3 separate regions of the Mus musculus genome follow, and all the other regions are reported to be linked to region 3. The links are microRNA targets in miRTarBase. Many come from high-throughput screens and were not tested one by one. Region 3 holds a microRNA gene; each other region holds the end of a gene's coding sequence.

Region 1 (4,226 bases), not on the chromosome of region 3:
CTATCACCAGTTTGTTGAGATTTCAGGCATGTACCACCATATCATATATACCATGCTGGGGCGATAACCCAGCCTTTAGTGCTTGCTAGACAGTCTACCAATTGTGTTAATCCCCAGCCTCTGTTTAATCTCATATGGAATAGTATGATTGGCCCTAACCGCCCCCCGTCCCCCCGTCCCCCAATACACACTCGCGCGGGTGCGTGCGCGCGCACACACGATGGACAACCAATCCTTCCATAACCACCCTGGCCATAGGAAGTCAGTTCTTCAGAAAAAGGGATGTCTATTTGACCAAAACAAATCCCAAGAGCATGCACACTGGGCTTTGGGCTAGAAGAGGGTCATCAGGTGGAAGTCAGCTGAATGGGGGAGGTTCAAGGAACACAAGGAGAGAAAGTCAGTCTGGTTGGGCCGTGGTGGTAGCAGGGGAGACAAATACCTGTCTAAGACGCGGGTACTATTACCAACCCCATTGAAGAGGCAGAAAGTAGCCTAAAGAAGCTCAGTAACTTGCCTCGAGAGTCATAGGCCGGACAATTATTTCTCTGACTCCAAGCTGGGCCATGCGTGTCCAGACTCCGCACCAGAACCCTCCTTTTTCCCATCATCCGTTTGCAAAATCAGAAAACGAATAAGAGGAAAGTGTGTCATCAAGGCGTGCCCTCCTGCAAGCCCGGCCCATCGCCCCTTGGGAGCAAGCTCCGCGTGGCCTCCGGGGATCAAAGATGGGCACGCATGCGCATGCGGGGGTGGGGTTGTCTTCGGAGGCTTCCGCCTCCCGGGTTTTGCAAAGTTACCTGGCCCACAGGAGGCGGAGTTAGGGAGTTGTAGGCTGTGCGCGCGCGGGCCCCGCCTTCAGCCTCCTCGGGCACCTGTTGGCCTGAGGGGCCGCCGGTGGCACCCAATAGACAGCCTCCCTGAGCCGCCCGTGCCCCGCCTCTAATGCAGAGCCACCAATCCCCGCGTTGCTGCAGCCCCGCTGCCCCGCGGCCCCACCTTCTGCGCGCTTCTTCCGGGTGGGCTCGGGCGGGGGCCAAGGCCATGGCTCTTTGGCCGCCGCTTAACTCTGGGATGCTGGTGCGGACTGGGCACACCGTGCTGACCTGGGGAATCACTCTGGTGCTCTTCCTGCACGACACCGGTGAGCCGGACACCGCGCCACCCCGAGCCCACCCGATCACGCGTGGGTATACCGGGGTCCCCCTAATCCTCAGACACATTGAAATCTCCATTTCTATCTCCCACCAGTTCCTCAAGCGTCTTTCTCCTATGTCGGTCCGGGGATCATCCTCTCTCCGCCTGATTCCCAAGTTGGACCCTAATTAATCCCAGTAATTTTCTGTCATCGATAGATGTCCATCCATCCAAAGACCACCAGAGCCCATCAGAGGACCAACTAGAGGCCCCATCTCTCCCATCCCTGGGCTCTACCTGTCCTTCCCAGAAATTGCCTCCCAACCCCTCCCTAAATAAGATTAAGAAATCCGCTAGACTTAAGGACTTGGCTTTCCGGTCCACTCCCCAAATCCTATGAGCCGACTAACTACCCCAAGGGACGCCACTATAGCGAGGAGCAGGTTTCCCACCTTCGCCTGGTAGCATCTCCTTTCCCCATCATTCCCTTCACCCCCTTCCTGCCCCCTCCTAGGTTTCCCTTCCAGAAGGAACAGAGCCCACCAGAGGCTTCCTCTGTAGCCCTCCTCCATCGCTTTTGCCCTTTGTCCTCAGGCTTCCACACCAGGAGTCAGCCACCTTCAAAACCTCCTTGGCTCTCTTTCACCCAAGGGTACCAGAGTTGCCTACGCTCAGCTGTCTGGTGTCACCACGTCCATCACTTCTTAGCCCTCCCTCCTCTCCATAATCCTCCTTCACTGCCATGGGCTTAAACAGGCTGGCTGGCACCTTCCTAGCTGGAGCTCCTGGCTGGCTCCACCCTCTTCCAGGGCTGACTCTTCCCCTGGGGAGCCCCCTTCCTCCTGCCTCCCTCAGGTCTAGCCTCCATATCACCTCCAGCTACTTTCTTTCTACCCCCACCGCCTCCTGCCCTTCCCTTTTGCTATGGTTCTCACTGTCCTCTGGCCTCCCCAGAGCTACGCCAATGGGAAGAGCAAGGGGAGCTGCTCCTGCCCCTCACATTCCTGCTCCTGGTGCTAAGCTCCCTGCTGCTTTATCTGGCTGTGTCACTCATGGACCCCGGCTATGTGACTACTCAGCCCCAGCCTCAGGTAAGCAAGCAGGGACCTCGAAGGCCAACAGGGGAGTGAGACCTCAATGCTGAGCCCTGAGCTGCACTCAGTGTGGGGGCATCTTGATGAAGCCTCTTGCCTACCCCTGTGTTTTTGCTCCTACAATGATGACATCACCCAAGACCCATGTGGGGACAACTGTCTTACAAAGGTCACCAGACGTCTAGTATGCTGCCATGTGCATGCGTCCCCTCTACATGAGATGGGCCCCAAGTCCTGCACAATGGGGACCGGTGGCACCTAGAGAGATGGCCCCAGCATCGTCTGCCTCCCAAGGTAGGAGAACCCCCAATCTCATAATCTTTGTTTCGTTTTCAGGGCGAGCCCAAGGAGGAACAGGCAGCCATGGTTCCTCAGGCCGTCCCACTCCGGCGCTGCAGACACTGTCTGGTGCTGGTAGGTGATACACACATACTCTTGTGGGGGCAGTCAGGCCATCCTTAACCCTGCCTCCCAAATTTAGGACCTGACTATGGCCTTGAGCATTCTCCCCAAAGGAGGACTCACGGGGGAGGCAGCACTAAGCCTAAACTGCGCTCTGTACCCACAGCAGCCCCTGCGTGCCCGGCACTGTCGTGATTGCCGCCGCTGTGTTCGGCGCTATGATCACCACTGTCCCTGGATGGAGAACTGTGTGGGTGAACGCAACCACCCGCTCTTTGTGGCCTACCTGGCACTGCAGCTGGTAGTTCTGCTGTGGGGCCTGTGCCTGGCATGGTAGGTACCTGGGGGAGCACAGACAGCATGCACACAGGTACTCAGGGAACAGGAGTCACTGGGACCCTGCAGTGCCCAGCCCTAGCTCTCCATCCTCTAGGTCTGGCCTTCAGTTCTTCCAGCCCTGGGGGCTGTGGCTCCGGTCCACTGGGCTCCTGTTCACCACCTTCCTGCTGCTCTCCTTCTTCGCGTTAGTGGTTGCCCTGCTCCTGGCCTCCCACCTCTACCTGGTAGCCAGGAACACGACTACCTGGGAGTTCATATCTTCACACCGAATCGCCTACCTCCGCCAGCGCACCAGCAACCCCTTTGACCGAGGGCCGACTCGAAACCTGGCCCACTTTTTCTGTGGTTGGCCCTCTGGGCCCTGGGAGACTCTCTCGGCTGAGGAAGAGGAAGAAGGCAGCAGCCAGGTTGTCTAGGGTTGCTGGAGAGAAGGCTGCTGTTGTGCCTAAAAGCCAGAGGCTGTGCCAGCTAGGGATCAGCCCACTCAGCCTAAGGCCTTTACGTCTTCCTAGGGCTTCCAGCCCTCAGGAGAGAAGTAGACAGAACCCCCCCTGCCACCCCTAAAGGAAGACATAGAAGAAAAGGAAATAAGTTGGGGGAGGGGTGTTAAAAGAGAACCTAGACACTACACAACCCCTGGCCTGGCTACCTCGAGTGTACAGTTTTATTAATTTAATGCTCTATATAAAGTCAAGTATTAAAAAGAAAAGCCACCCATGCTGCCGTGGACTCTTTCCTGGTCTGGGGTCTACCGAGAAATAGAAGGACAGAGTTATAGACACAGCAGGGACACGAAGGAAAAGCCTGCAACGGCAGCCCCACGGACGGCCACTGCCTGGACTCCCACACACTCATTAAATACTTCGGCCCAGGCACATGGTTACGTGGAGGCTTCCTGCAGTCTGGCTGAAGTGCCAGGAGACCCTCAGGACTCCAGGAACTGCTCAGACACGAAGTCAAAGTCCCGGAAGGCAGCCTGTTGGCGAGCAGTGAGGGAGCTCTGGGAGACTGGTGGGGTCAGGGTTGGAGGCAGGCTGGTGAACTCTCCCTCGAAGTAACGAAGGTCTGCAGGGCCACAGAGAGTAGGCACGAAGGGAGGCTGGACGGTGCGGGCCAGCAAGGCCTGCCAGTTGGTGGTCTGAACAAGGTACAGGAATATAAGAATGTGGGAACCGCAGACCCCAGAGGCCCCCCAGCCTCCCCACCTCCCCAGGAAATGGGGACTGCTGGGTTCTGGCTTCGTAATTACCCTGA
Region 2 (4,242 bases), not on the chromosome of region 3:
TCAGACTTGCTATGTTGCCAAAGCTGGCTTTGAACTCTTGATCCTCCTGCCGCCAGCGCCCTAGTCCTGTGATTACAGGACACACTCTGCTTCCTCTTTTGCTTTCTCATCACATGTATTCCATTAGTCCTTTTCCCCCTTCATGACCTTCTTTCTAGACTCATGCCCTACACGCATACACATAGGATTTTAAATCTAGGTTTTAGGAGCCAGGCTTTAAGTTGATGAGTAAGGATTCTAAAACCATTTTTGGCATGTACACTGAGCAGGAAGGGAGCGTGAACAGTTAGAGTAAACAAGAAATGTTAAGAGTGTCATGTGATTGTGATATATCAGGGCCTACTTTTTTTTCTTTCCAGGCTGAATTGGAAGCCAAGAAAGCAAAAATGAAGGGGACCCTGATCGACAATCAGTTCAAATAATCAAGATCTTTCTGGGTTCAGACTGGAGGCAGCAGTTAGATGAGGAAGAGTAGCTTCAAGATGTGTTTTCGTTTCTGTTTCTCCCAGAAGGGTTTTCTGACCATCCTATTGGTTTTCTGACACTTTTTCTTTTCTTCCATTGAAGTCCTTGACTCCATTTCACTTGCTTTCTAGGAGGTAGATTGTTTGTAAAATCTCTGTATATATGTTTTCTGTCTTTCTTGTCTTTGAGATCAGGTCTTGTTACATACCAGAGTATGGCCTTGAACTTTGTGAGCCTCCTCTCCTGTCTTAGTCTCTCTCTCTCTCTCTCTCTCTCTCTCTCTCTCTCTCTGCTGAAGTTCCAGGACCACACCACCACACCTGGCTTCTGTAGCAGTCCTCTTTTCTTTTGACGTATACTTCTTTTGCAATGTAGCTAGTACTAGTAAGCATTTGACTTTCTCTAGTGTCTGACATAGATGTCTTTTCTTCTTCAAAGTTATTGCAGTTTTTAAAGGTTTTTTTTGTTGTTTTTTTTTTTAAATATGGTATGAGAGGAAGGTGACCAAAATTAAGTTTAAAATACAGCCAGGTAGATCCTTTTAAGAAACACTGTCTCTGATCTTTGAACTGTTCTTAGAATTGACTATGGTCTATGGTTTGAATCTTTCTCCTATCAGTAGAGATCAGTTAGAAACACCAAACCTGCAGAAATACTTCCTTACTCAAAATCTTAGAATTCTAGGTGAACCATGCTATGTCAGACTTCAGAATAAAAGAAGGAAAAGCCATGTGGCTGGGGGTGTAGCTCAGTAGTGGAATGCATGCTAGGCATGTGTGAGGACAGCCCCAGCACCAAAACAAAAAACAAACAAACAGGAAAGCCAGATCACAGATGCAGGGCTAGGATGGCTCAGGTCGGATTTAAATATGGCCTTGCTAAGTAACCCAAAGGAGTTAGTCAGTCAGCTGGGAGAATACTCTATGAGTACACAGAAGGGGGCATAGTGAGAGGAGCTTATCTGTTGTTGGGCATCTTGTTTTATGTTTGCTCTTTGCTGAAGAGCGTCTGAAATGTGTCATTCTCCTTCAATTATGTCAGCATCCATGTGATTCTTCCATATAGTTCTCTGTTTGCCTGTCTTGCAAGGCCCAAGGAGACACTGAATGTGTTGTCTTCCTCGTGCTATCTATGATGGATTGCACTTTTTAAATACTCAAGGCTTGTTGGTGAGGTGTTGCCAGGAAATAGTTTTCTTCGCCTTTTTTCTGATTTCTGTTTCTGCGGGGGAAAGCCACTTAGAGGAGAGGTACAGTTGAGCTAGCAATGACTGGACTGATGTGGGTTAGCGATCCTGGGAATTGGAAGAATGGGGCTATGTTACCACCTTCCCAGTTATTCTGTAGACAGCAGGGTCTTCCTATAGCTAAGTCTTCACCTCATTTTCTGTCCTAGTTGTGAGACAGAATTAAAATTAACATTTGTGAATGGTCAAATATGTCCAGGCAATGACCTCTACCTTTCCGCCACTTTATCCCCAAATTCTTATGTGTACAGCTTGGATATACACAGACCACCATAGAAATTCAGGCTTCTATTCTCTGGCCACAGCCTGTAGCTGTTTCTAGTCTCACAAGCTCCCATCCTTTTAGACCTTTTTAGGTGTGACTTTCGATTTGAGGGGTGATTATTTTGCTAATAATAATGAAACATAATTGTCGTAACAGTAACATTAATACTCATTAGTCTCCATTGAGTACTTGGTTGGAGAAAGCACTTTAGAGGTATGAGCTCACGCTTAGCACCTCCTAGGAGATAAGTTAACTGTTGCCATCACTGTTTTACAAAGCACTCGGAAACTCGGAATTTTCCTTTCCCAAGATCCACTAGCCTTTGGTAAAGCCAGAAGACTGACTTGAAAACTCAAGCTCTTTCCTATGCTGAACTGCTGCTTCTATGGAATTTTGTATCATTCGATTAGAACATAATTTCATTTTGAAAAAAAAAAAAAAAACCACTGAATTGCAATGTAAAAATATTAAGCTAGAGAACTCCCTAAAGCAATTCTGTAGTTATGCTTGTACATATTTTATGAAATAACTCGCTCTAACCATTTGAATATCTGACACAAGTTACACATTTTACTGCTTCTAACAATAATGAAATATTACGTCATTAGTAGCAAGTAAGTACATACTTCTCATTATATTTTACTTTCTACCAGAAGTTATTAGAACAAGATGTACTTTCTCTATTCTTTATTAACTTCCAGTGATTTTTTTTTAGCAAATGTGTTTTAATATTAATAAAAAGAGCCATATTGACATTTGGGAAAGTCATAAGTCTGCAAGTGATCAGCTGTGAGAAAATTATGAAAATGTTATAAAATATTCTTACTCTAATAGTTGGTGACATTTGGCATTGTAACTATCACTTAAGAAAAATTAAAAGGCTTTTTAAAAGCTAACCTGTTTTGTTGGGGGTGCTGACATGTATGAATAGTTCTGAGTGTCATACCAAGCAAAACTCTCTTCAAAATGAAATAAAATAAATAACAGAATGGAATGAACTAAACTAGCTTGTTTTGATCATTTTAAGATTCATATTGCTGTGAACCATATTTCCTTAGTCTCCTGATTTGTGTGTTTCTTATAGGTATCAACTGACTTTCATTTCAATTCCTAATGACAGATGATGTTGAACATACTACTTTTATTACAGTTTTTTTTAAAGGTTATTATCTTAGGCATATTTTTGTTTTGAGGTGGGGTCCCGTGTAGCTACTGGCTCTTAATTTTCATTTTAGTTTTTTGAAATGGAATCTCACAGTGCCCAGGCTGACTTCAGATTCTCTGCCTGCCTGAGTTTGACGGTGAATTCCAGATCTTCTGTCTCTACCTCCTGAATGCTGGGATTCCATACTTAGTGGGTTTTAGTTTTAATGGGGTGTTTTTAGGATCTTTTAAGTATTTTATGTGAATGAGCATTTTGCCTGCATATATGTATGTGTGTTGCACATGTGCCTGGTGCCTACAAAGGTCAGAAGAAGGCATTGAGATCCCTGGAATTGGAGCTATGGGTGGGTACTGGGAATGGAAAGCAAATGTGCTTTTAACACTAAACAATCTCTCTAGCTCCTATCTTTAGTTTTTGGAAACAGGAAAGTATTTTCTTTCTTTTTTTAAAAAAAAAAAAGATTTATTTATTTATTATATGTAAGGACACATAATAATAAAGACACACCAGAAGAGAGCATCAGATCTCATTATGGATGGTTGTGAGCCACCATATGGTTGCTGGGGATTGAACTCAGGACCTCCAGAAGAGCAGTCAGTGCTCTTAACCACTGAGCCATCTCTCCAGCTCCAGAAGGTATTTTCAATGCACCCTAGACCTAATGACTGTGGGATTTTTAGAGGGTTTTTTGTTTGTTTTTGGGTTTTTTTTCTGCTAGCAAAAATTGAATGTAGTATCTAGTATCTGCTGGTCAAGCTCTACCACTGAGCTATATTCCCCAGCAATGACTTTGAACCCTCCTGCCTGCTGCTACTATAGACTTGGGCTACTGTCCAGTTTCTCTATTATTATTATTATTGTTATTTGTGTGAGATGGGGTCTCACTATGGAGCTCTGGTTGTCCTGAAACTTACTATGTAGACTAGAATGGCCTCAAACTCAGAGACCCACCAGCCTCCTAGGATTAAAGCCATGTGCCACCATGCCTGACCCTCGAACCCATTTTTAATTACTCAGTTCAGTAGTATTCATTTGCATCCTTGTGACACACATCTGTAGAACTTTCCATCTTCTAAATCTGAAACCATGCATACATTGACC
Region 3 (4,242 bases):
ACTTTGTAACTACTTGAATAGCAGCCAAGCTCTTGTGCTCTGAAGTGTTGGACAGAAGCACACGTTTATCTTCTTGAACTTAAAGAAGTCCAGATATAGTTGCACTTATCAACTCGGTTAAAAGGATACCATCTCTAGGCACTGCACAAAAGTTCAAATGTGCAGCAAACTGTTCTTTTTCTCATTCTCAAAAAAGATTTTATTGTTCATAAAACTTCTGCCTGCATTTTTTTTTCTTTTTAGGTTTTCCAATTAAAGGTAAATAAGGAAGTATTTGTTTTCTTTAAAGATAATCTCTAATGTATACCTCTTGGATAATAATGTATTTTGTTTTTAAAGAAATTCCAATTTTTAGACTTTCAACTCTTTGGCTGTTTTTGTGTTTAAAATGACAGTGAAGTTGTTAAATATCTCTGCATATGCAAATTGACTAAGTATGTTAAAAATAGCAGAATTCCTGACTCAGCAGGATTGCAGTTTGCTTCTGTGTACTTAACACAATTAATTCAGATTGTCATTTTGGATATGAAGTGAACTTTCCTTTTCTGTGTTTAAGGTCCTACTCTGTAATGATATTGTATTAACAACATCAAAAACACATTCAGAGCACTAGTGTGGGAAAGAACATTCTAGATCATGACTTTGATTCATGGTCTCACCCTGCTTGTTAATCAAGGGGGATAGAAGCTTATGAACTCTTTGGTTTTCATATGGATATTATAAAAAGAAAAGAAAAATTTAAATACATTTCTGTTGCTTGGAGAGATATATATATCCAAAATCTGTTAGGTGGATTGCCAGACACTTTAGGCTCATTAATATTTTGAGAATGGCTGCTGTTACCATGTAGATAACAATATATTTTTTCATGGGCAAGGCTATGGCACTTACCTACTCTGAAAAACATGTATAAACATAGACTTTAATTTCACTATTAAGAGATGCAGAGGTCTTGTGAAAAGAAAAAAACATATGGTTTGATTACTTTGAATTCTGACTGCATGAGGGCCAGTAACAACAGGAACTGGATTTTAAAAGTTTATGTTGTTATTTTTTTTTCCTTAAAATCATGTGAATTTTCTGTTTTTGACAATTATCCTTGTTAGCAACATTTGGATCAAATGTATGAGTGTACTTCTGAATAAAGCCAAACGTCTAACTTCTTTTTAGTTCCATAATGTTTTAATGTTTAATTCTATTGTGTGTTTCTCTCCTTTCCCTTTATCCCCCTGTCCTTCCCCCCTAAATCACCAAATCTGGAAAACAGGCTGATTGTATCTGTCCCTGAGCAAAGGAAACCTGAAGGACCCAAGGGCCTGGCTGGACAGAGTTGTCATGTGTCTGCCTGTCTACACTTGCTGTGCAGAACATCCGCTCACCTGTACAGCAGGCACAGACAGGCAGTCACATGACAACCCAGCCTGAATGACCACCAGCCATTGAAAGAAAGCTGCCCTCACAACATAGCATCTACACCAAGAGCTACAACCACAGTGAGGGGGTTGGGGGGCCTGGGGTTTGAAACTGTTGGCTTATTAAAAGAAAAACTCGTATGTAATCCTTTGATTTTTTTTGATTCGCATATTAAAACCTACCCGAAGTAAAGTGAGTGGTGCCTATGAAGCCTAATAAAGCCCATTTCTGAAAATGCTCCTGTGTCTGCCATGGTCCTACTGCCTCCACCACACTCTCGACATTCACTGCACACACCTTTGCTGCCTCCTGACACTGACGTGAAAACCAATTCGACAAAACCATTTGGCTTCAGTTGGATGTTTGTCGAAGAGGAAATTATTCTGCTGGGTCTTGTCTATAAATGATTGTTTATTTGTACTGTAACTTTTAAGTGGGGGGGGGGGGAGGGGAGAGAGGGGAAGTATGGAGAGAAGAGACAGAATAAACAAGTAACAATATATTCTAAAGGATCAAGTATTTCAAGTTAACAAACTGCCAGTCTGGCCTGGGTAAAAGATATTTTAAAATATCCCTAGTAGATTTTTCACTCATATTCAAATAACAGTTTCTCTTCTTGGGATAAACAAGAATATTGAACCGTCAATATTTCTGAGTGCTATAGCACACACAGACTAGCTACCATGTTGCTGTTTAGCTAAGAAAGCTTTTCTAGTGCAGTCACAGGGATAAAATATAGAAATCTGATTTGCTTACTTGGGATCTATGTTTCCAGTCACGTAAGCTCTCAACCCAAGATTTTTCAAACCCGTTGATAATTTCAAAAAAGCAAAGATAGCCCTGCATGACATATTTTGCCCTAATTTCTGAGGAAATATCAAAGTTTCTGTTCTGACATGAACTGGAGAAGTGGTCAGGGCTGGCTTTGTATATGAGCATTTAAAAAAAAAAAACAACAATAAGGATAACATGCAGAGACAGGTAAATTTAGAAAATTATTCTATTTTGACCTTGTTTATTAACATATTTTACCTTTCAATGTTTCACATTTAACTTTTTCTTATATTCTAATCAAGTTTTAAAATTATAATCTGAGGCTACCCCAAACTATTTTGTAATGATTGAAATAACAATCTCAAGCAAACTGCCTTGCCCACAGGCCTTTCATTTTTAAAATATAAGATTTAATCTTAAGGCTAAGAGTTCACAGTTTCCAAATTTTCTGAATTCTATGGTATTTGTACTAGATGTGACACTATACTTTCTTTAAAAGAAAGAGTCATAGGCAAAACTGTGTCATGAAAATATGAATAAAGTTAAATGTCTTGCATGTAAACAATCTGGACTCACAGAAACTATATCCCATGCAAAAAATGATCTGTTTTGCCTTTATGAAACTCGTGAGGAATTAACAGGGCTTTTTGCCTTAGAGGAAACTCCCATGACCACCCAACAGAATGCTGAATGATACATCACAAAACGTGAAGTATAAACAGGAAGTATAAACTGTCCATAAGGCTATTTGCATAGTCCTACCCAACTTTAAATGCTTTACAGGAACTGCAGCAGACACTACCAGAGCGCTCATGATGAGTTATTCTTCCAGGGCAGGAATGTACCCCGTTCAGGGTGACACAGTGTCCCAGTCAGAACACGAAGGAACTGGGGGTTAACAGGGATATCCAGCATAATGTATCAAATAATTTTTCCATAAATCATAAAAAATACCCTTAAAAACGTTTCTGACTCTGCTCTCAAAAGCCTTGACTGTCTTATATGCACCTTAAATTCATAAAATAAGGCACACTTGAGATTTTATCCTTCTGGGAAAGGGGTAATATAAAGAATGTGGACTTTGCAGCATTAGATTTGGAAACAACAAACAGTAGTAGTCGGTTTGTAGTTAAAGGATACTTTGAGTAATTTTGAAATGGCACTGGCCATTACCGTGTATTAAATAACACTTATTTTATTTCCTAAATCATAAATCTTTGGAGAATGCCAGGATGTGGAAATAATCAACCTCATATTTAAAAGCACAATGGAAGTTACTTTCTATAGGAATAAAAATTACAAGTATGAAGATGGAGACTTTTAAGTTATATACGTCGGTGTTTGGTGTTTATTTGGACTTTAAAAAATGAAAATAGCCAAGTCTGAGCTGAGCGAAAGATTTTTGACAAGGAATGTGGAGCATTCAGTGGTCTGGGTGGCCTCCTCCATCACTGGGGCCCGCTCCTCCTGTTGCAGCTAGGCACGATTAGAAAGGGCTACGTGAGAAGGCAGAGATCTCAGCATCCCTGGGCCATGCATCCCTGTGACTTTGCTCTCCTAGTTTTGCACATCCAGGCCTACAGCTGTCACTTTCTTTCCTATTTTCAAAGTTATATTTGTCATCTGCGAGAGCTGCACAATAAAAGCAGCCCTAAGTAAGCAGCCCTATAAGGGAATGATATAATCTCCTTATCAAGCTATCCAAACATTTCAGCCCACAAAAATGAGGCCTGTAATTTCTTAAGAGTTCCAAGAATGTCCTGTTTCAATGCAGATTTTGACTTCCTTCAGTGGAGCAGGGTTAGCATAGCTCCGCTGGAAAGACCGTTTCCCTGACTCCAGTTTCTGTTACTGTTTCATTCTCTGTGCTGGGTGGGCCACAGATGTAGAATAAGAATTGGCAACCAGCGTCGCTGTATATGAAGGGGCAGTTCCTTCTCTTTGGTTAATTTAACTTTGGGAAAACTTGCACATTTAGATGTGTGTCTATTTGCCCACTTCTTGGGGAATATTAAGAAAAATGAAAGCCTCTTCCCCTGAATCACAGTATTCCTG

The links. The annotated mature microRNA mmu-miR-214-3p reads ACAGCAGGCACAGACAGGCAGU and lies in region 3 at 1,384-1,405, shown strand. An mRNA with a match to its seed (bases 2 to 7 or 8) in the 3' UTR can be bound and repressed. Matches are read on the target gene's strand: a 7mer-m8 pairs with bases 2 to 8, a 7mer-A1 pairs with bases 2 to 7 and ends in A, and an 8mer does both.
Region 1: the mRNA of Pkn3 is a reported target of mmu-miR-214-3p. Seed matches in the 3' UTR shown: 7mer-m8 at 3,754-3,760.
Region 2: miRTarBase lists C330007P06Rik as a target of mmu-miR-214-3p. Seed matches in the 3' UTR shown: 7mer-A1 at 755-761.

The regions. Positions count from the first base shown.
Region 1 is chr2:30,090,407-30,094,632 of GRCm38, reverse strand. It overlaps Pkn3 (protein kinase N3), which reads right to left. Exons shown (of 22, transcript NM_153805.2): 21 at 4,222-4,226; 22 at 3,614-4,110. The coding sequence ends at 3,898. Zdhhc12 (zinc finger, DHHC domain containing 12) reads left to right here and starts at 998. Exons shown (of 5, transcript NM_001037762.1): 1 at 998-1,144; 2 at 2,092-2,228; 3 at 2,568-2,645; 4 at 2,800-2,966; 5 at 3,067-3,689. The coding sequence starts at 1,045. The coding sequence ends at 3,388.
Region 2 is chrX:36,847,280-36,851,521 of GRCm38, reverse strand. It overlaps C330007P06Rik (RIKEN cDNA C330007P06 gene), which reads left to right. Exons shown (of 7, transcript NM_029951.1): 7 at 360-2,979. The coding sequence ends at 422. Among named protein-coding and RNA genes, the nearest start is that of C330007P06Rik, 15 kb to the left of the region's middle.
Region 3 is chr1:162,222,055-162,226,296 of GRCm38, forward strand. Mir214 (microRNA 214) reads left to right here and starts at 1,314; the gene lies at 1,314-1,423. The region is part of intron 14 of Dnm3 (dynamin 3); the gene reads right to left. Dnm3os (dynamin 3, opposite strand) reads left to right here. Exons shown (of 1, transcript NR_002870.2): 1 at 1-3,496.